Rattus norvegicus: one gene and its partners. The protein of the gene in region 1 interacts with the protein of each later gene in a pairwise test. Links are inferred from orthologs where the notes say so. Each region holds a gene or a part of one and is shown on either strand. Other genes may lie near its edges.

The links. The genes of interacting proteins can lie anywhere in the genome.
Region 2: the proteins of Ccdc33 (region 1) and Bccip interact in a two-hybrid assay, tested with the Homo sapiens proteins (3 studies listed by BioGRID and IntAct). The two-hybrid records come from large-scale screens. The link is inferred for Rattus norvegicus from reciprocal best matches to the Homo sapiens genes CCDC33 and BCCIP.
Region 3: the proteins of Ccdc33 (region 1) and Ttc19 interact in a two-hybrid assay, tested with the Homo sapiens proteins (2 studies listed by BioGRID and IntAct). The two-hybrid records come from large-scale screens. The link is inferred for Rattus norvegicus from reciprocal best matches to the Homo sapiens genes CCDC33 and TTC19.
Region 4: the proteins of Ccdc33 (region 1) and Abcf3 interact in a two-hybrid assay, tested with the Homo sapiens proteins (2 studies listed by BioGRID and IntAct). The two-hybrid records come from large-scale screens. The link is inferred for Rattus norvegicus from reciprocal best matches to the Homo sapiens genes CCDC33 and ABCF3.
Region 5: the proteins of Ccdc33 (region 1) and Khdrbs3 interact in a two-hybrid assay, tested with the Homo sapiens proteins (2 studies listed by BioGRID and IntAct). The link is inferred for Rattus norvegicus from reciprocal best matches to the Homo sapiens genes CCDC33 and KHDRBS3.
Region 6: the proteins of Ccdc33 (region 1) and Arih2 interact in a two-hybrid assay, tested with the Homo sapiens proteins (2 studies listed by BioGRID and IntAct). The two-hybrid records come from large-scale screens. The link is inferred for Rattus norvegicus from reciprocal best matches to the Homo sapiens genes CCDC33 and ARIH2.

The regions. Positions count from the first base shown.
Region 1 is NC_086026.1:67,406,824-67,410,727, reverse strand, and holds part of Ccdc33 (coiled-coil domain-containing protein 33), read left to right. Parts: intron 1-3,252; coding exon 3,253-3,416; intron 3,417-3,904.
Region 2 is NC_086019.1:197,948,672-197,952,575, forward strand, and holds part of Bccip (BRCA2 and CDKN1A-interacting protein), read left to right. Parts: coding exon 1-34; intron 35-2,199; coding exon 2,200-2,289; intron 2,290-2,951; coding exon 2,952-3,139; intron 3,140-3,904. UniProt on the Homo sapiens protein: During interphase, required for microtubule organizing and anchoring activities. During mitosis, required for the organization and stabilization of the spindle pole.
Region 3 is NC_086028.1:47,494,870-47,497,464, forward strand, and holds the end of Ttc19 (tetratricopeptide repeat protein 19, mitochondrial), read left to right. Parts: intron 1-2; coding exon 3-165; intron 166-1,003; coding exon 1,004-1,137; 3' UTR 1,138-2,054; downstream 2,055-2,595. UniProt on the Homo sapiens protein: Required for the preservation of the structural and functional integrity of mitochondrial respiratory complex III by allowing the physiological turnover of the Rieske protein UQCRFS1.
Region 4 is NC_086029.1:93,846,555-93,850,458, reverse strand, and holds part of Abcf3 (ATP-binding cassette sub-family F member 3), read left to right. Parts: intron 1-2,018; exon of another isoform or gene 2,019-3,416; coding exon 3,417-3,461; exon of another isoform or gene 3,462-3,538; coding exon 3,539-3,671; exon of another isoform or gene 3,672-3,746; intron 3,747-3,904.
Region 5 is NC_086025.1:102,813,480-102,817,383, forward strand, and holds part of Khdrbs3 (KH domain-containing, RNA-binding, signal transduction-associated protein 3), read left to right. Parts: intron 1-1,273; coding exon 1,274-1,413; intron 1,414-3,904. UniProt on the Homo sapiens protein: RNA-binding protein that plays a role in the regulation of alternative splicing and influences mRNA splice site selection and exon inclusion. Binds preferentially to the 5'-[AU]UAAA-3' motif in vitro.
Region 6 is NC_086026.1:118,178,744-118,182,647, reverse strand, and holds part of Arih2 (E3 ubiquitin-protein ligase ARIH2), read left to right. Parts: intron 1-40; coding exon 41-91; intron 92-186; coding exon 187-208; intron 209-1,420; coding exon 1,421-1,572; intron 1,573-1,918; coding exon 1,919-2,062; intron 2,063-3,046; coding exon 3,047-3,115; intron 3,116-3,904.

The DNA of each region.
Region 1 (3,904 bases):
TGGCTTTCTATGTAGTTTATAGGATCCATCACAAGTTAGCAGGCCTGTGCGGCAAGAACTTTTACCTGGTGAGCCATCACACTGGCCTGAGAGAGCAGTTTTTAAGCCCAGCATCCACCGGAGTCTAAAAATTTGCCCAAATGGCACATCGGAGTCACCAGACCCTCTCAGCCCAACATCCCTCTGGAAGACTCAATGTGGCCTCCTCTAGCTGGTATGTTTTCAGATGTGGACCCTTCTAGAGGAGAGATCTGGGCTTCATAGCTTCCTGTTGCTTCCCGGGTTTCTGGGAAGAGGGAATAGAATGGGAGAAGAGTCTGGTTTCATCCTGGTCTCTGCCAGAAGCCCACTCCCTGTACCTCCCTCTCCACCCCCACCTCTGTGAGCCTTGGCTTGTCTGCTGCTCCTCCCTTCCTGCTCTCATGCTCCCTCACACATCCAATGCTGACCCAAGCAAAGAACATTCTGGGATTCCCAAGGACACCATGATGCGCTGAGATCAGCAGTTTTCAAGCCTGCCTAGAGCCCAAATCCTAAGGGGTGGCCAAAGGAACTCTGCTTGGAAATGGGCAGGCTTTGAGCTTACCACTAGCCTGCTGTCTACAGTCATTGCATGGGTGAGCAAGAGCAGGGCCTGAGAGCTGTGGTGAGCATAGAGCTCTGCTTTCATGGAAGAAGATTCTGAAGCTTCTCTGCCCAGGGTCAGCACCTTCACTCAGTTTTCTCCTCACCTTGTTTTCTGTTTTGTTGTTGTTGTTGTTGTTGTTGCTGTTGTTGTTGCTGTTGTTGTTGTTGTTGTGTTAAGATTTATTTATTGTATGTATGTGAGTACACTGTAGCTGCCGCTTTCATGCACACCAGAAGAGGGCATCAGATCCCATTACAGATGGTTGTGAGCCACCATGTGGTTGCTGGGAATTGAACTCAGGACTTCTGGAAGAGCAGTCAGTGCTCTTAACCACTGAGCCATCTGTCCAGCCCCAGCTCCTCTCCTCACCTTGTAACCTAGTATACGTAGGTATAGGTGTCGGCATCGGTAGATACATATCCTATTCCTTCACAAATTCTTCCATGTGACCAGGGGCAGAGGCAGCAGAACACATTGGTCCTGATGCAGGGACCCACGAGCAAGGACAGAGGCAAAGGTGCCCTGGCTCACTGCCTGTCCCCTCTACAACCCACACCTTGGACCCCCACCCAGTACATCCATGGGGTACATGCCTACAGGCTTCAAGAGGTACCTGACTAACAGCTGGCCTCAAGCACACAAGTGAAGCACAAGTGTCCCTACCCAACTCTCTCCAAGCTATGTTTCCTGGAAATCTGTCCTGAAAGGGAGGAGACGGGGAAGGAAGAGATCCAATCGGAGGACCTGGCAGAGGCCTGGTGGCCTCCAGAGCTGCCAAGGAGGCAGGGAAGCCCATAGACAACGATCATGCTAAGGGACCTTCGCTTCTGTAACCCCCGCCCCCCCTAGAGTGCCACGGTAGGCTTGCGCCCTCGCAGTGGCAAGGGTGTCCATCTGGCAGTACAAGGGACATCAGTTACCTCTCCTAGTCTAACTTCAGAGAACTTTAGTCACACCAAGTCCTGGAAAAGCTGAATCAGAAATCATTCTAGATGCTCCCACCGGAGTGCAGGGAAACGGCTCTGTGCCGGCGCATCTCAGAAGGGACAGAGGAGCCTCCTGGCTTGTCAGCTGCTGTCACTCCTGTACCAGAACAGGAAAACAAACCTGCTAGGCGACCTCTGGTTATGTGGGCTAGTACACTAGAAGAAGTCCTCTGATCTAGGAGAGGCATTGGTCTGTGAATGCTCCCCTCCTCCACTAGCAGGGCTCCCCCCTCCCTTCCCCCTACCCTTGCCATGTGTGTGTGTGGGGGGGGGAGTTAACTCTCATCAACACCTCTGCAGATGGTGACAGGCCCTGCTGGGTCCTGTTGGGGGAGGGAGCAGGTTTAATCCTCAGTCATAGGAAGGGGAGAAGTCTCTACAGAGCTGGCACATCTAGGGCTGGGAAGCCCTGTTCTCACCTCCTAATGAGACAACTTGTTAGGCAGGGACCACAGTCTGCAGCACGTGAGGGATGGGTCAGGGGATGTGGAGTTTGAAATCTTTTGGAAATTTCTGCCCAGGTGATGAAAATACCAGACAAAGGCTGAGGTGGGGAAGGGCTGCTAGGACGATTAAGGGAGCCTGGCTTCTGCTGCGCTCACCATGCAGTACAATGGTCCTGAGAATCTGAATGAAGTAGCATTCCTAGATGTACCTGGGCTAAGCCATGCTGCCTTCTCTTCCCATGCTAGGAGTCAGGAGGGCGGGGCAGAGTGGTGCATCATGTCAGGTCCCAGTCCCCATATGTGAGATGACAGAGGTGGTCTAAGGTAAAGATATAGGAAAGAAGAAAGGTAGAGGTCACTAGGACCTGAGGAGCATGTGGCACGGAGGAGTTACAGAGGTAAAAGCAGGAGCAGAAACCGGAGGACAGACAGATTGCTTACAAACTAAGGTGGGCTGACTTCTGCTGCACACGGGGGCACACCAAAGGCTAAGGAAGAAGCAAGAGGTAGAGAGAAGTACAGAAGTAGAGAGAAAATGGCTTCCTAGGCTACTGTTCTGTAGTTGGGGGAGCAGGTAATGTTACAGAGAGGAAAAGGTACTGGTCAGTCGGGCCTATCCAGCCACTAGCCCTGGGCCACATCCAGACTCCTGCAGGCAAGACTGTCTGTGAACACAGCTAAACACAAAGTCATAGGCTTATCTGAAATGTAAACCTTGTATTTTCCAATCATATCATTTTTATTTTATTTACTATTATTGTATACGTGTGGGTGAGTGCAAGAGCGTGCGTGCCACGGCGTGCGTGTGGAGACCAGAGAAAACATTTTTAGAAGTATTAACTTCCCACCATGGGTTCCCACAATCCAATTCTCGCCATCAGGCTCACACAGCAAAGGTTGAGCTAACTCACTGACACGTCTGTAGTTTTGTAACAAGGTCTCGTGTAGCCCAGGCTGGCCTCAAACCGGAGGAGCCAAAGATGACCCTGAACTTCTGGTCCTTCCAATGCTCCTGCCTCTTGAGGGCTGGTGTGCACCACCACACCAGTTTTTATGAAATTTCTTCATGATTTCTGTTTTGTTTTGTAAATTATACCATGGAAAGTTTTGACCCACCTGGTAGAAGTTACCAGTAACAGTAAAGAGAAATACTCCATCAAAAGAGTCCACTTAGCCCTGGCTTTCCCCACAGGTTCCTGAAGAACCACAGGACCGCCTGGATACCTCTCTGGACCCATATCCTGACACCAACTACCTGGCTCCCTGTAATAAGGAGACTGTCATGGTCACTCTGTATGGAGCTACCAACCTTCCTACCTGCAAGGATAGCTCTGAACCGTGGCCCTACGTGGTGGTGTAAGTAGCTGGGAAAACTGAGGTAGGACTGGGTCTGGGTCTGCAAACAGAAACCATCTGATGAATATTTGGAAAGTGAGCTCCTGTGCAAATGAGAGACCTGTCTTGTCCCTGGCTGTGTGGTAACCCATGCCAGGACTGAGCTCCGCCTGACCTCACAGGGGCAAGCCCTTGTCTGTAGTGCCTAGGCTGTGTTCAGTGTGGGATGGGGATGGTCTAGGGGAATGTTACCAGCCTGGGCATTTGAAGTCTGTCCCCAGAGGGTGGGGGAGCAACTAGGGACAGATAGTTAGAAAGAGAAACAGCACTCAGAAGAATTGGTGAAGGCTAGAAAAGCAAACAGAAAAACTCGGAGGTGCTAATTACCCTTCTACTGGTCATTTCCATCCCACTGAGTATAGACCACCCCTGGCTTTCCCCCTGGAATGCTCTGAAACGTGAGCCTGGGTAGGGAAGGACTTCTGGTCTTTCTCTGCAAACTGGCCTTC
Region 2 (3,904 bases), on another chromosome or scaffold:
GATTCAGCAGAACCACATCGGGAGTGTGATTAAGGTCAGAGGGGAGATGGGCTCTGTGGGTGCTTTGTCCTCCTTATCTCCAGCTGAAAGGAAGTATTATTGAGGACTGCCCAGAGGTTACCGCAGGAATCCAGGCATCAGCCCTGGTAGAGAGAAGGTGTCTGACTTAGAAGGTATTTGGGAGGTGAAATAAGGCACAGTGTAGTGTACTGGGTCCCTTAGGGATGTGGGGGGTAGGTCAAGGTTGACTAACAAGTTTGCTAGAGCGCTGAGGTTGGCACACATAGAAGGTAGGTAGGTAGGGCTGATGAGTGAATTATGGGTGCGCACTCGGCGTCTGGAGTGCGGGATGCTGAGCAGCAGCTGGAGTCACTCAAATGTCAGTCACTGATATCAGACGTCATCGGAATTGTCATGGGAGAGCAAAGGACAGATACCCTGGTAATGCCAGCCATGCTTCTCTGAGCAAAAGAAATGGCAGAGAGCTGCTAGGAATGGCTGCAGCGGGAGGGGAAAGCGGTAAGAGTTCATAAAAACAAGGAGTGGGGTACTTAAGGAAGCACTTGTTCAGTAGGGTCACAGGAAACGAGGACCCAGCCCCAAGACTGCTCTGCCACCTGTCCCCTGGGATTCTTCTGGTTTCCTGTTGTTCTATTATAAAAAGTTCCACAGCTTAGAATTGCAGCAGGCATCTGCTTGGTTTGTGGACCTGCCATTTGGACAGAGGTCAGATTCCCTTCAGTTCCTGCTTTGTTCTGTGAGCCAAGGAAGCTTGGAGTGGGGCATTACTGCATGGCTCCTGGCACTGTCGCTGGGTCATCTGAAGGATAGGACAACTCAGAAAGAGATGGTGGAAGACCAGGGCTGGTTCTTGAGCCACCTTCTCATTCTCACCTAGTTTTGTTGAACCTAAGACATCCTTGCCAACTGGGCAGTGGTAGCCCATTCCTTTAATCCCAGCACTTAGGGACAGAGGCTGGTAGATCTCTGAGTTTGAAGCCAGCCTGGTCTATGGAGCTATTTCCAGGACAGCCAGGGCTACACTAAGATACTCTGTCTCAAAAAAAAAAAACAAAAAAACAAAAAAACAAAAAAAACAAAAAAAAAACAAACAAAAAAAACAAGCAAACAAAAACATTTTGCCAAGAGCTGTAGAGGAGCATTAACAGCCCATGGTGCTGAGGCAGCTGTAACAGGTTCGAGGGCGCACCAGACCATTATAGACCCCATTGTCCTAGGTTCGAGGGCGCACCGGACCATCGTAGACCCCATCGTCCTCTGGGGTGGAAGGATCAGTTTCATCTCATCTCATTCATTCAACATGGATTCCTTGAGTACTTTCTGTGTGTCAGGCTGAGGGCAGAGTGCCGTGAGAAGGGAGTTTATGGCCTGGACAAGCAAACAGGCACCATGTGAAGGAAGGGCTTTAGTAAACTGGCTAGGGGTTTAGTCTCCTAGTGGAGGAGCAGGCAGAACAGAGCTAGGGAGTTCAAGTTGGTTCACCATTGTCATTCCTTGCTGCTTGCTGTCTCCCTTTGCCCATGTGGTATATGTGTTTGCCATGTAAACCCAATTGTTTCTGTAATGGTCAGGAATTGCATTGTGTGAATGTGAATTTTAGGTGATAAAGTGTTAGAGGCTCCTGGAGATAGAAGAAATGGGCTGGCTCATGAATATCAACCTTACCCAGATTTAATAATATATTGAAATTCTGGTTTTAAAAAAATGTTTAGAATCTTCTTTTGAGACAGGGGAGCTCTGGCTGGCCTGGACTTCATAGAGATCCACCTGCTTAAGATTAAAAGCAAGGGTCAGGGTCACCATACCCAGATATACATGAGTCTTCTTTTTCCTTTTGGTTTTCAAGTCAGGGTTTCCCTGTGTAGTTCTGACCGTTGCTGTATGTGATTAACAGGCCTTGTCTCTAGGGAGCCCCAGGCCAGCCAGAACTACTCAGTGAAGCCCTGGCTCACAAAATGAAACTCAAAGCATCTTGTATGAAGCCGTGCAGCGCAGGATGATGTCATCCAGAATGTCTGGAGGCAGAGTGTTCTGAACGTTGACACACTGCACTCGGGACTCACTGCTCTGGTACCCGACCGCAGAAAAACAAGATTTGATTTTGAAAAGTGGAAAATTGGTGTTATACTTCTTTCCAGCCGAATAATGTAAAGTTGAAGTATTTTCCTCTTAAAACAGCAAACAGATGTTTCAGAAGACAGTGATGGTGAAGTGGATGAAGATGAGATCTTTGGCTTCATCAGCCTTTTAAATTTAAGTGAAAGAAAGGTTAGTTTCACTGCGTGGTATTCGGATCTGTGGTCAGGATGCAGTCTTTGTGTCAGAGATGATGCTGTCAGGGCAAGCGCTCCTTCCTGCTCTGTCCTTCTCAGTGTGGAGCGGTCTTGACCGGAGTGATTTGTACCAGCTTAAAGCTGATTACTCTGGTGGCATGATCAGTAACATCGTAGTGCCTAGTGTTGGGATGGTGGTTCTGACGCAGGTTCTGTTGCAAGATTCTGCAGCCAGTCTCTTAGCTCCCAGTACAGTGTGCATACAGAGGGTTTATTCAGCAGCTTCCAAAGTTGAGAGTGGGACCTTAACATGGGCTTACGTTTTCTCATCTCTTTATTGACTTAGTAATGAGTTCTAATAAAAAATTATGTCAGCTGCCTATTCTCTGAGAATAAGATGCGGGCCGCAGTCCACCTTCAGTTTTCAAAGGAACTTTCCAGTTAGTTCCCAACTGTTTTTGTGAGGTGGAATAGAAGTGCTGTTCCAGTGTGTGTTAATTAGAAACTCGACTTACCACCAATCATGGGATGGTGATTAGGTGTAGTGATGGCCGGAGAATTCTTCAGCAGTCATACCGAAGAAGCGCTAGGATGTAAAGGCAGCGGGAGGGAACCCAGCTCTTGGGGCAGAGAGCAAGCCTTCTCTTTCCTTTCCAGGGGACTCAATGTGCTGAACAAATTAAAGAGTTGGTTCTAAGCTCCTGTGAGAAGAGCTGTGAGCAGAGCATGGTTGAACAGCTGGACAAGCTTTTGAATGACACCAGCAAGCCTGTGGGCCTTCTGCTGAGTGAAAGATTCATTAACGTTCCTCCACAGATTGCTCTGCCTATGCACCAGCAGCTTCAGTAAGCAGTTCTGGGCAGTGCCTCAGACGCTCATTCCTTACTCAGGTAGCATCGGAGGTGGAGTCTGCAGCAGTGTAGGTTGGGCTGCAGCAAGCTCTGATGGGGACGGTGGGGTGGAGTAGTGCGCAGGGGCTGCTCATTTCCAGCATCCGGCCCCTTGAGAAGTTTTGATTACTGGTGGCAGGAATTTTAATATTTTCAAACATTCAGGTGGTAGAGAAACTGGTGAATTTTCAAGCTTTTCACATTTGACTGACAGTTTGCACATTCACACATGCCTGTAATTTGAACAAAATGTTGAACAAATACTAAAAAAACCAGAGTCAAATTCTTACATTCTGGTTTGATTAGTGAAACCAAATCCTTAATACTGCCCCTACTTCTTGGCCTCCCTATGTTGTTGAATACAGGAGTTTGAAGTTACAAAAACATTTAAACATAGAACTACAAAGTTTAGAGAATTGAGTGAGGGAAGGATTGTGTCACCTGTGCTTTGATGCACAGGGTTGAAGTGTAGACAGTCATGCTAGCTGTGTCCCTTGTGTAGACAGGCATGCTGGCTGTGTCCCTTGTGTAGACAGGCATGCTCGCTGTGTCCCTTCTCCCAGCTACGTCTGTGAAGTTGCTGCAGTGTCAGAACTGGGTAGTCACATGCTCTAGTGCTGTGCGCCGTGCCTGTGTGCCTCTTAATTTGCAGTTAAACATTGATTGTTTAAAAAGTGCAGGTTCTTATTTATTTTTAAATTTGCACAAAACAGTGAATCT
Region 3 (2,595 bases), on another chromosome or scaffold:
AGACCATTGTGCTGATGAGTGACTTGGCTACTGCTCTGGATGCGCAGGGCCACTTTGATGATGCCTACATTTATATGCAGAGGGCGTCAGATCTGGCAAGGGAGATAAATCACCCTGAGCTGCACATGGTGCTCAGCAATCTGGCTGCCATCTTGATACACAGAGGTAGGTTGCAGTGGAAACGGATTGCATTCTGAGAGTTTCCATCACTGGGCTTTGAAGTGAAATGATTTTGGGGAGGACAATGGCAATGAAGAAACCCCTAAGTCAGTGGTTCTCAACCTATAGGTGAGGCCCTTGGGGCCGAAGGACTCTTTCATAGGGTTGCCTGAGACCACTAGAAACACAGATATTTACATTACAATTCATAACAGTAGCAAAATCACAGTTATGAAATAGCAGTGAAAATAATTTTATGGTTGGGGGTCACCACAACTTGAGGAACTGTATTAAAGGGTCACAGGATTAAGAAAGTGCAGAACCACTGCTGTAAGTTAAAAAACTGGCTAAGTAAGGGTAAAAAACATGCATGTGTGTTAAAGTACAATTTTGCTTCATTCATAAAACTTCCATATTTCTGCACGACCATGTGAAGGCAGAGACTACCATGCAATGATAGGTCCTGGTCTTGTTTTACAGACATGTTTTCACAGGTGTAATTCGCAGTGTTCTGCAGCCACAATATAATAAGACCTCAGTTTCTGATTCCACATTACTCAGGGCTTAAAGTTCCCATAAACCTGAGAGCATAAGTCTCTACTGCATGCAACACCATTGTGAAATCTTTGGCCAAGGGAGAGCCCACTGTAATTCCACAGCACTGAGTACTTTAGATCTGACACCTACTGTAAGCTCAGCTTCTCTCACCCAGCTGTCATGTATGCAAGACACCAGATAGCCCTAGATGTCAATTTGAAGCATTCAGCAAATCATACAGTGTCCTCACTAGTGGTTCCTAGTGAAAACACATATTTTCTTCTCCCCTCTCTTTGGGTTATTTTAGAACGATACACACAAGCAAAGGAGATCTACCAGGAAGCACTGAAGCAAGCAGAGCTGAAAAGAGATGAGTTTTCTGTTCAGCACATCAGGGAAGAATTGGCTGAGCTGTCAAGAAAAAGTAGACTTTTGACTTAATGTTTGTTGTTAAGCTATAGAAGTTCATTTTGTCATAGAGAGGTAACCTCTGATAACCCAAAGGAGTAACTGTTCCTTCATTGTCTGGACCTCAATCGGTGGTGTAAATCATTGTTGAAATTCAACTTTCTTCAACTCAGCTTCGGTGAAGGACAAGTCCTATACACTGCCACTTCTGTTTCTAAATTTTACTTTGAGATGGGCATCTCTATGTGTAGGCTGGCCTGGAAATTGCTGTATGCTTGACGTTGGCCTCCAACTTGGAGTACTCCTCCCTCAGCCTTGCAAGTGCCTGGCCCTACTTTTGTTTTTAAAGGTGAAACAGCCTTTAGGTACAGTCCATGCTGGTCTGAGAAAACTGTAGACTACAGTTGGCCAAGTTCCCCATGATATGGTCATTATACCTTCCATCAGATTTTGGTTCATGCTTAACTCTTCTCTATCTGTCTCTGCCAAACAAGTTACTTGTGTCATTACACATGAGGATTGTGGTGAGTTCTTACACACTATTTTATTGAAGCATTGTGAGATTTAATGACTATGAAGGGCAATGATAATTCTAGTTGGCCACCATTAGGCAGCATTCACTTCTCAAATGGAAATGAGACACTTGAACTGTGTACCTGTTTATATATAACTACTGGCAATGGTGGTGGCAGAAGGAAGGAAGCCCCCACCATGCCATCCGAGCACTAGGGTTCCTTTATAAAGACAGGCACATACGGGAGTCAGGCACTGCTGCCAGCACCGGCGTACACCAAGGTAACGTGCAACCCCTACCTGGATCCTGTTTAGCTCTTTTTTCTTTTGCAGTCTCTGTATTTACAGCTGTGAAGTGTGAAACCAATTAGATTGTCCGACGACTGTATCACTGCCTCAGAGTATATAAATACAAGATACATGGATGAATGCTTTTACCTTTGCAGTCTGACAAATGGTCTTTTGCCTAAGAAAAAGACAGTTTTTCTGGGTGCCATGAAGGAAGCCTGGTGGTGGTAGCATGCCTGTGGAGGTGCGTGGTGTGAGTAAGACTGCCAGTGGACTTTGGGTTCATGTGTTTATACAGGAGACAGTTTTCACAATAAACTGGAGACTATACAATACTTAGGTATTCTAATAATCTTAGAAAAACAATGGCCAAGTTACTAAATGGACATACTAAGGTCCAAATCCTCAGAGACGTACCAGAGTCTGTGCTGTGCGGGGAGAGCCCCATCTTCTGTTTGAGCTCATCTACCATTCACTTCTAGCTAACCACATGTGATCCCACTAACCATGAATAACCAGATAAGAGTTCAGTCACCTTTTGCTTTGAAAATGTTTTTACTTTTTTATAATTCCAAAGTTACCGAAGTTAGGTGTTTGTTGGGCTTTTCAATGTTCCACGGTGATTGACCTCACGTCCTGTGGCGTCTGTGGTGTGTCCCCAGCAGCACTCACTTCACTGTTATAAAAAGG
Region 4 (3,904 bases), on another chromosome or scaffold:
GTCCATTTTGACTGGGTTCCATGAGTCTGTGTTTTGATTGGCTGTGGTTTTCTGTAATGGTTTCTGCTGCAAAGAGACGTTTCTTTGATGAGGGTTGATGCTAGACTCTGGAAAGGACTGGGAAGTCTGGCTGGATAGAATAGTTGGGTGCAGCACAGAAAGAACCGACCTGTGTGTTTGCGAGTCCAGACCAGTCATTTTGTTTTTAGGTTGAGACAATCCCTCACTTTGTAGCCCAGGCTAGCCTTGAGTGCCAGGTGTGCCTGCTTCCCACATGCTGACATCACTACCTTTGGCTTGCCAGACTGTTTTAAACAGACACATTGTTTTATATGCCTGTGGGAACTGACATTTTCCGTGTCTGTGCCAGCACTTGTTAACTCTTGCAGTCTCTGCTGTCCTGGTGATGAAAAGCAACACCTGGTCATAGTCCTGATAAACAGTCCCGTGACTAATGAAGTGTCTCAGTGAAGGTTTACTCTCAGAGGAATCGCTCTAGAAGCCCTGGGAGAGAGATTAAATTCAAGGCTTCCTACTCTGACACGGAAGCATTGGTCACTGTATGTGAAGGGCAAAAGCTCCCCAGAAAAGACTGGCAGCTGGGGCTGGGGCCTCAGACCTGTCATCTCCACACTAGGGAAGACTAAACTCCAAGGATTTCAAGTTCAAGGCCAGCTCAGGCAATGCAGTAAGTCAGCACATGTACAACACGCAGTTAATAACACAAGCTTAACAGTTTTTAAAAATCTGTTGAAAGATGGGATTTTTTTTTTTTTAAAATTGGGAAACCATTCAGACAGGAGGCCTGCCAGCAAACCTAACGGTCCAAATTTCACCCCCAGGACTCATGGAGGAAGAGGGGAACCAGCTCCTGCATGTTGTCCTCTGACCTCCACATGTGCACACACAGGCAGACACGTAGAAAACATAAATGTAACATTTTCTGGTTTTTTGTTTTGAGGCAGTCTCACCAATAGCCCTAGCTGACCAGAATTTTCTGTGTAGATCAAACTGGTTTCAAACTCATAGAGATCCATTTGCTTTGCCTCCCAAGTGCTACGTTAAAGGTGTGTGTTACCACACTGGGCAAATAGATGCCATTACAGCTGTTGTACCATGGAAGGGCTGTCCCAGCAGTCAGAGAAAGCTGCTCTGCTGAAGAGCTGGCTCTGGTCCCCAGCACCCACAGGGCATTTCACAGCTGTCTGTAATTCCCGTGCAAAGGGACTGACACCCTGTTCTGACCTCACGCGCACTGCATACATGTGGTCACACACACACAAACATGCAGGACACCCATACACATATAAATGAAAAGAGTTTTTAAATTTACATGTATTTTTGTTTTTATTACTTACCATTTTTATAATGTTTTATTGGGAACTGCACACTCTCCATATATAGTCTTCGGTAGTCCAGCGCTTGCTGTGTAAAGCCTGTTGGACTTGAACTCTGGCGGTCTGCCTACTTCTGCCCCAGGCGTGAGCAGTGAAAGCACGCACCACCACACCCAGCTTACATTTGCATAGGAATTTATTTATTTATGGTTGGTGTTTTGCCTGCATGTCTGTCTGCGTGGGTGTCAGATCCTGGGAGCTGGAGTTACAGACAGCTGTGAGCTGTCGTGTGGGTGCTGGAAGTTGAACCTGGGTCCTTTGGAAGATTGGCCAGTGTTCTTAACCACAGAGCCATCTCTCTAGCCCAAGATTATGGTTCTTTGTTTTGTTTTGTTTAGCTGCAAAAAAGATGATTCTTTCTTAACAGATAGTGTAGCAGAAGAATATATCGAGTATCACCAGATGAGGGACACGCAAGTCTGAGTTTTCTCCGAGCATTTACTTGTGTAAGAGGAACAGATTTTTTTTAAGTCTTGTTAATTTTTGTCATTTTGTTGAGTCAGGGTCTCCCTACATAACACAAAACATTTATGTAGGCTGGCTTCAGCCTCCTAAGTGGTAGAATTGTGGATTATGTTATCACATTCAATGTAAAGTTAATTGTTTTACTGATTTTATTAGTGTGTGTGTGTGTGTGTGTGTGTGTGTGTGTGTGTGTGTGTGATGGACTTTGTCATGATGTTAACTTCATTAGGATTTCTTACAAGAGTATGGGTAAGGTGTTATTTGCAGAAGATCGCTAGTGGCTACACTACTGAGGAAAATGTCTCTCCCTCCCTAGCAACCGCTACTTGCCTATAAACTGGTAGGAGGAGCTCATGAGCTCAGCCCTTCAGGACAGGCCCCGTCCCATGCAGATCCAGTGTAATAACCCCGGCAGCTCTGAGTGAGCGCCATGGCCAGGTCATGCACAGAGGACTGTTCAGAACACTCCAGCCCACGCTCTAGCTCTAGTTCCTTCTGCCGTCTCTGCCACATTCCCTGAGCCCTTGAGGCAATGCTACATCCTGTTTGTGACTGCACTCAGTAGTCACTCGTCACCAGCACTTTGACAAGTTAGGAGTCTCTGCAGTTACTGCTCCTCAGAGTGCAGCTGACCAACCTGTGGGGATAAACGTAGTTATTTAGAAGGCAGTTGGTGGTCACGTGGTGATGACTTAACAAACAGCTCTAACCTCTGCTGGGGCCTGACTTACAGTACACATGCAAGTCCCTCCTGTGGAGCAGGCCTCAGCAGTTGATTATCCCGTAATAGACTTGCAGGTGGGCACACCCGGCCAGACTAGACAGTGCTGTAGCATACAAATCCATGGCTCAGGCAGACTGTTGGTGGCCATTCTCCCCCCAGCAGCCTGCTGAGCACCTCCCAGCACCAGGGCTGGCTAGCAGGAGCTACATCTCAGTTCTGTCTAGCTTTCTCTGTGCCATAACCTGAGTGTGTGTGTGTATGTGTGTGTGGTGTGTGTGTGTGCGCACTCACGCGCATGTAGAGACAGAGAGAAATATGGTCCTGGACACTTTGTTCTCTAAGCTAACTCTTGCCGGTATTTCCTGACCATTACCTTGTAGGGAGGTAGCCCAGCCCTGGCACTGGGACTTTCCCTTATAACCCGTAGGTTCTTGGAGCAGTTGTAGCCACCACACGCACAGGGTGCTTCTGCTGATGCTTTTTTCTTTTTCTTTTTCTTTTTCTTTTTCTTTTTCTTTTTCTGATAGCCCTGGATTCAGTCTTTAGTCCAGGATGACCTTGAACCCAGAGATCCCTCTGCTTCCTGAGTACTGGGTTAAAGGTGTGAACTGCCACTGCCCAGCTCAAACTTTATTTTTTAAATTAGCTTACTAAGTATCAGGCTTCCTTGTGTCTTTTCTATACATCTTTTAGTTTTCTCCATACATTTTAGTTCCATACATCTTGACCCTTCCCCCTCATCTTCCTGTCTCCCTTCTTCTCTACCCAAGTATTCTCCTTTCTGCTTTGATGTCTTGTTAAAATAATCCTTTCTCCGTCTCTCCTCTCAGACCTGAACTAAAGCCGGTGGACAAGGAGTCGGAGGTGGTGTTGAAGTGAGTGCTAAGCCGGGGAGCTGAGGGGAGCTGGCATTTCTGGCTGCCTGCACACTCCACCCTTGCACCTCCTATAGGTTCCCTGATGGCTTTGAGAAGTTCTCACCGCCAATCCTGCAGCTGGATGAGGTGGATTTCTACTACGACCCTAAGCACATCATCTTCAGCCGCCTGTCTGTCTCTGCCGATCTCGAGTCCCGCATCTGCGTGGTATGGTCGCTCTTCTCCTCTTCTGTTGAGTGTCCTGGGAGTTGTCTTCCCGAACAGGCGTGCATTGGGCCAATCCTGACACAGTAGAAGCAAGAGTACAAAGAGAAATGGGCGGGGCCTAGACACAGGCACTCACACTCCCATCGCTGCGTTCTCTGTGGTCTCATACCTGGCATGTGGCACTTCGTAAATATATAGAGCAAGCAGTGATTTACTCTATATGTTCAAACTCT
Region 5 (3,904 bases), on another chromosome or scaffold:
CAAAATCGTTATGGTGTCTCAGCAACCTTAGTTGTAATTATATTTAAACCACCTTTATGGTAATGGAAGGCTTTGCATGACTTGGCTTCTGCTCCCTAAGACTCCTTATTGTCTTCATAATTTTTCCATATAACACCATTTTTGATTATTTACTTATTTTTTATTGATTCATTCACTCTTTCTTTCATTCATTCATTCATTCATTCATTCATTCATTTTTGTGATAGTCTTACCTGTGTTCCAGGCTAGCCTAGAACTCAGTGAAACCTAGGCTGGTCTTAAAGTCAGGGTGGCCCATCTATCTGCCTTAGCTAGAGTCCCTGGTTTCTGGAATTTAACACTCATCAGTCCATCAGTCTTTTGATCTTCCTCTGTATGGAGCTTTGGGCTACCTCTCTGATAACTGGATCTCCCTTCCCCAGATGGCCCCTCTTAGAGAGACTCCTTTGGCTATTGTACAGCTAAATTATACTTCCTTCTTTGATTATAAATGTTTCTTTTTATTACAAAGCAGTGATGATAACGTTTTATCTGTTTATTCTGTGAGGATCATTACAAAGAGGAAGGAAGCAGGATAGAGTCCTAGTTTCAGAGTTTAATGTGTGGAGAAAAAAGTCCCGATTTTTCAGGAATCCGATTACTTATCAAATTTATAAATCTGGACGTTCCTTGTGTGTACAGAATTGTGGTACAGCATTGTGTCAACCTAGCACAAGTTAGAATTGACTACAACATGGGCCTCTGAACATATCTGTGCTAGGATTATTTTAATAATCGTGATTGTCATAGCTGAGGTGGGTAGACTCACTCACTCATTGTGGGTAGAACTGTTCCTTAGGCGTGAGGTCCCCGAGTTTGTGAAAAGGGTGAGCTAGGCATGCATGCGTGTAACTATGTTCACTGCCTCTCCCTGATATGCATGTGCTGTGATCACCTCCCTCAGGCCTTTCTGTCAGTCAGTAGGTAAATGTTTGGTGGCGATGAGTGAAAAGAGCTGTAAATAACCACGTCTATGTCATAGCTCTGTGGCCTTGTAGCATTGCAGATATCGCAAGTAGAAATTATGCATAAAAAAGGAGAGACAGTAGGTTACCTGTAATTTTAGTCTGGGGGAGGGAACTCATGATTTTCTTTTAAAAAAAAAAACACATTTTCATTTTTCTTTGAATAAATTTTCTATTTTAACTGTTTTCCTAACCTCATTTTCTTCAAAAAAAAAATGCTTGCTTTATATTCTAAGTGCTTTTCTATTGTCAATATCTTTTCTGTGCAGGACTATAATGATGAAATCAGGCAAGCACAGCTCCAGGAATTAACTTATTTGAATGGAGGTTCAGAAAATGCAGATGTCCCAGTGGTTCGAGGGAAATCAACTTTGCGTACGAGAGGTGTAACGACACCAGCAATAACCAGGTAGGTATAATTACTTTCTGTTTTTAAGTTGTCTTGCCATGGCAGCAGATTGAAAGTTGCTGTCATCAGAAGGTAGACATATTTGTCAGTGTGTCTTATAAACCTTTATTCTGATATTCATAGTCAGGGATTGACTTTAATGTGAGAAAAACTGAACCTAAACTTATATACATCCTGTACCACTTCCCAGCTAATAGTAGTTTGGTATACTGTTTTCCTCCCCAGTAGAGATTCAATAATTCCCTGAAATGAAGCTTGGTTTTAGGTCAGTTAGTAGTATAGGTATCATGAGAGGAAGATACCATGTGATCCTATGAGGATACCTTGTGTTTGTATTGACTGTGAGGATACCCTGTGTGTACTGACTGACGGTGAGGATACCCTGTGTGTACTGACTGACGGTGAGGATACCTTATGTGTCTCCTGACTGAGTATACCCTCTGTGTATACTTACTGCTCCATATTGAACTTTCCCCCATCAGTGCTAAGTACAGTGTTAGGCAACAAGAGGCTTTATGAATGCCTCTGCCTTTGTGTGCACTGTCAGACCGGAAGCTGCTGAAGAACTCCTGAGTGGCACACGGACACAAAGTTTTTATTTCTGTCTCTGAATTGTTGACTAGCTTATAATAGGGGAAAAATTGTTCCAAAAAAATTGAGCTGGCTCTTTAAATTGGTGGAGAAATTTTTTGTTGATATAGTTGTTTGGGGGGACAGTGCTTCCCCTCTGTCCTCTAGTTCTAGGGACATCATTTTTAGCTAGTAACTTAAGCTTTTCTGTTAAGCTTGAAACTATATAGAAATATCTCTTTCAGATAGAATATATGTTGGAATTTATAATAGTATTTATTTTCTATTTCCAAGCTCATTTGTGGAATAAAACTTAATTCCGGAGTATGCTAATCCAGTTATTTGTGTGACTGTTGTAAGCCAGGCCTGGGGGCCTGAGGGCCAGGTTCCTTCAGAGAAAGAGAGCTAATAAACATGTCTGTGGATGAGCTGTGAGGCACTGCACTGCTCAACAAATGAGTGTTCCTGCCCACCTTTGGTCTTGCTTGGAATAATTGCTTACTTGCTATAGTTTCCTGTGGTCACCATGACTAATTGTCACAAATCTGGTATCTTTCAGGTAGTTTTTTGTTGTTGTTTTCTGTTTTTTGGGGGGTTTTTTTTTGTTTTTTTTTGTTTTTTTTTTGCTTGTTTGTGTTCCTCACAGAACCAGAAGCTAGATGTCCAAATTCAGTGTCACTAAGCCAAGGATGAGGTTTTGACAAGGAGTCAGTCTTACCCCTGTCTCTTCTGTTCCTGGAGATTGCCAGGGTTTTATGATCTATGGCCCCATCATCACCTGTCGTCCATCTTCACAGTCTCTTCCTCTTGTCATTCCTCTCTGGCTCTCTTGTAGGGGATGTGTAACTGGATGGCAGGTTTTGGTAGCCTATTGTCATCATCCCATCAGGCCTTCTCCCATAATCTGGTTTCTGGGATTCAGGCAGCAGAATAGTGGTCAGCCTGACACTACTCAGCCTACTCCAATTACTGGTTTTGTCTTCACTCGATGGGAGCTAACACATTTGTACTATGTCACATGCAAAACAGTATGTTCGGTAGGTAGTTACGAAAGTCTTCCACCTTGTCCTGTCTATGCCTAGCCACTTCCTGCTGCCTGATGTGGTAACCTTGGTAACAGTGATATTAAACAAGGTATTATACTGACTGTCCTGCTGCCTGTTGCCATGTGGGGCAAGTAATGTGTTTTGTGCAGCATTGTTACAGCACAGATGCAGATTTTCCTTTGTGGACTGGAGGCAGCATGTACAGACAGATAAGAAATGGCCTCCCAGAACAGGCACTGCTGTGCCACCAGACAGATGCTTTGAGATGCAGTCCTGTAACATGTGAGATTGGTTTTATTAGAATATAATGCAGCTAAAACAAATTCCTATAGTCTAGTGGTACGGTAACCATGGTAACAGTGTTACAAACAAGGTGTTATACTGCCTGTCCTGTAAAAGCAGAGCGTGCACAACAATGTACACTAAGTGTACAGTATCTTCTGTCATCTAGTTTAAGCAAGTCTACATCAACTACATCTAACGAGGTCCCGGACTATCCATCATTTAGTGATGAAGGACCACATGTGGATGTAGAAATAAGTATCACCATCCTGGAATATAAGTCTCTAAGTGTTCTTTTCAGTGACACAAAGTGTCTACACAAATTCACATGTCCTGGGATTTTTTATATGTATTCACATATATAATAAATTTTGTTGTTTATCTAATAGCTTTTGCATACCACATTGTCAGGCAGTAACTCAGAATGAGTCTCCATTCTGGAGAATGTCACAATGGAGCATACTCAATACCAGTGCGTGGGAAGTCAGTGTCCCTTAAATCATTGACAGTTTCTAATTCAGAGCGCTTTCCATGAAAGTGTTGATGTTACCAAGAGTAAGAAGAGAAGCACTTTCTTTGCTCTATAGTGTAAC
Region 6 (3,904 bases), about 51 Mb from region 1:
TGATGATGTGTAAGCCTAACAGCACCTTCTGTCTCCTCAGTGTCCCAAGTGCAACATCTGTATCGAGAAGAATGGAGGCTGCAATCACATGGTGAGTAGAAGCATGTAGACTTTGTGTGCAAGCATGGAGGCCTTGGTCAGAGTACTCTGCTAAATGTGTTTCTTCTTTTTGTTTCTCTCTGACAGCAATGCTCCAAGTGTAAGCATGGTGAGTCCAGGCCTGGTCTCCAGTCCAGGGGCATGGTCTGTGTTTCTTGTGCTTTCGTCTCCATTGCTTCTTAGTGAGTTCTTTAGACAAAGCAGCGAATCAAAGGGGAACCTCCATCACTTGGGATCACTGGAACTGGCTTAAGAGCAACTTTTGATTTGAGGGGTGGGAGCATTCTGTTATAATTCCACTGCTGTCTGATAACACATGTAGTTGAGTCGTCTGGTGTGACCTCGTGATCCTCAGTCATCCAGCAAGACTGTTTCCTTATCTTTCTTCGTGGGCAGCATCTGCTGTGTAGGCCCGGACAGCCTCAGGTTTGCAGCAGTCCTCCACCTGTGTCTCCCAAGTGCGTGGATCACAGGCCTGGGCCAGCATACTCAGGTCAAGGCTTTTCCCAAGACAGATAGCTGTCAAGGGGATTACTAGAGATTTTTTTTTTAAGTTGCCTTTCGGAAAAGGCTGTATATAGCTTTGCCACAGTGCTTTAAAAAAATTTTTTTTGAAGATATGTTCAGATAGTCTCCCACACAATTTCTCAATTTCATAATTGTGACATGACCCATTTGTTACCCGGGTAATAAAGGCAGGTATATATGTAGTGGCACCAATTTGTAATCTCAGTGCTCAGTGTTGGAAAGGCAGAGACAGGTGGATTCCTGGGACTTCTTGCCAGCCAGGCTAGCCTAGAGCTTATCTCTGAGGGGTTGGGGGGACTACTAAGCACCTGAGGAACAACATTCAGAATTGACCTCTGTCCTATAGGATGTACGTACAGGGGCATAGATGCACACACACAAAAAAGGCAGAAATTTGATTTTCAGTTTTGTGTATAAAGGTCTTAGGACAAGCAAGAATTGTGAGGCTTAGGTAGCAGTTTATATAGGCAGCCTGTGTTCTAGATGACCAGATGAGACTCTTGGGCACAGTTTTGCTTCCTGCAGTAGTGTTGACTGTGCTGAGCAGTGATCTTGTACAGCACAGTAAGGCATGCAACATGTATGTTTTTTAATTCATAGGCCATTGGCTGTCCTAACAATTAGGGGGAGCAGTGAGTTGTGACAAGAATGAGAGTTGTATATCCCTCTGCAAAGAGGCAACTTTGGGAGTTTCTGTTGGGGTTACCTCTTCACCCTACTTTCCTGCCTGTGCCTTGGAGGAGTGTGTGGTTGTCTTGTACAGGTAAATGACTTCACCCTCCTTTCTGTGCAGACTTCTGCTGGATGTGTCTAGGAGACTGGAAGACGCATGGTAGTGAGTACTATGAATGTAGTCGGTACAAGGAGAATCCTGACATTGTCAACCAGAGCCAGCAAGCACAGGCCAGGGAGGCCCTCAAGAAGTACTTGTTCTACTTTGAGAGGGTAGGTGTCTTGTCTTACATCAGCCCTTTCAGAGTTGGCTTTCTCCACTTGGCCTGTTGACGACGTGAGAGCACTGGGATGCTGTGTGCATATGTGGAAGTTAGTGACTGGAGCTTCTGCACGTGCTTGGTATTGCCTTCTACAGATGTGGGTTTTCAGTTGTGCAGGATGCTGGGGAAGGACCTGGTACCCCCTTAGTTGAGTGATGTCCAGGACCCGTGTGCTCCATAAGAAGACAGAGCAATCCGAGGACATGGCCTACTAGCCAGTGTTTGTTTTAAACTTATCTGCTGACCTCTGTACCTTCCTGGAACTCTACCCTTTTCCTTCTTCCTCTGCTTTGTAGTGGGAAAATCACAACAAAAGCTTGCAGCTGGAGGCACAAACATACCAGCGGATTCACGAGAAGATTCAAGAGAGGGTTATGAACAATCTGGGAACGTGGATTGACTGGCAGTACCTGCAGAATGCCGCCAAGCTGTTGGCCAAGGTATCCACCAGCTCACTTTTCTACCATTAGTCCCTGTTGGCTGCAAACATTAGGGTGGGAGGCTATCTCTGAAAGAAGGGGGAAGGGGGAGTTTGGTGCCCTGACTAGCTTTGCATGCGTGTCTACAGGACCACATTTCCCTGTGCTGAATATACCAGAAGTCTTAGCCCTTTGCTAGATGTCTGTCTTAGTCAGGGTTTCTATTCCTGCACAAACATCATGACCAAGTAACAAGTTGGAGAGGAAAGGGTTTATTCAGTGTACACTTCTACATTGCTGTTCATCACCAAAGGAAGTCAGGACCAGAACTCAAGCAGGTCAGGAAGCAGGAGCTGATGCAGAGGCCATGGAGGGATGTTACTTACTGGCTTGCTTCCCCTGGCTTGCTCAGCTTGCTTTCTTATAGAACCCAAAACTACCAGCCCAGGGATGGCACCACCCACAATGGGCTGGGTCCTCCCCCCTTGATGAGTAGTTGAGAGAATGCCTTATATAGCTGGGTCTCATGGAGGCGTTTCCTCAAGGGAGACTCCTTTCTCTGTGATAACTCCAGCTTGTGTCAAGGTGACACACATAAAACCAGCCAGCACAATGTCCAAAGGACTTCTGAGCAGTTTGTTTAACTGTCTCTGCCAACAGAGAAAACTAAAGCCTTTTTTCTTCTTTGTTCCATTTATGGATAACTGAAAAGAAAGTCTATAATTGATAAGTATTGAGATGTAGATTTTACTGACCACTAAAAAACAGAAAAGTTCTGAGCAGCTGGTGGTTATGAGTCAGTATGAAGGGTGGTGGTTCTGTGGCCAGTCTTGTTTCCTGTTTCCCTGTCTTCCTGTAGTCCACCATCTCCATAGTCTGGCCTTGTTGCTTTTAGATCCACATGTCTAGAGTCATCATTTGCATGGTTGGGTATGAATTGTAAGAGCTACCCAATGTGTGGGTCAAGTAGAATCAAAGATAAGACTTTTTTCTTTCTTATTCCAGTGTCGATACACCCTGCAATATACCTATCCATATGCATACTACATGGAATCCGGCCCCAGGAAGAAGCTGGTAAGCCATCACTGCCTTTCTGCTGTTCCCTGCAACTTTAGAGGGGCCCCATTCTTACAGGCACTTTGCAGATGGACATGGTTCTGACCTGATATCATTGGGAGAACACAATGAAAACTGTCTTACTGCAAAAAGATATTTCTGGCTCTGGGCATCTCTGAAATAAACCTCAGATGCTATAATAGCCAGATGCACCTGATCCCTTAAACCTTGATATTTAAAGATCAATGGACTCAAAAAGCCTATGATCACTTGGATAGCCAGTGGCCGTATCATACACATCCTTATGTTATAGTTGTCTATTTCCTTTAGTTGTTCTTAGATATGGTTGTTCCTCCTGCTGATAAAAGTAATTTTTATATATTCCTTAAATGTTGGGAAACATAGCATTTATGTTGTTCATGTTCTAGCCTTTAAAACTAATGTTATCGAAGTAAAGCTTTGTGTAGAGCATATGTGAGTCTCAGCACCAGAAAAACACAGAGGCACAAACTTCATAACTCCAGTGATCCAGGATTGAGTTGTCTGTCCAGCCTAGACTATAGCAAATCCTTCTCAAAAACCAAGGCACAAATGTATGGTTGTCAAGCCTCTCACCTTTTACCAGATTGAATTCTTCTTTACAAAAATGCTACAATGTTTTACCTTAATGTGTCATCATTTGACAGGACAATTGTTTCCATTTTCCTCTCACAAATAAGACTGAGGAAAGTCTTTTTGTGTAACATTTTATTCCTCAAGTGTATGGTTACTATTTGATTTTTTTCTTCTAAGTACAAAAAAAAAAAA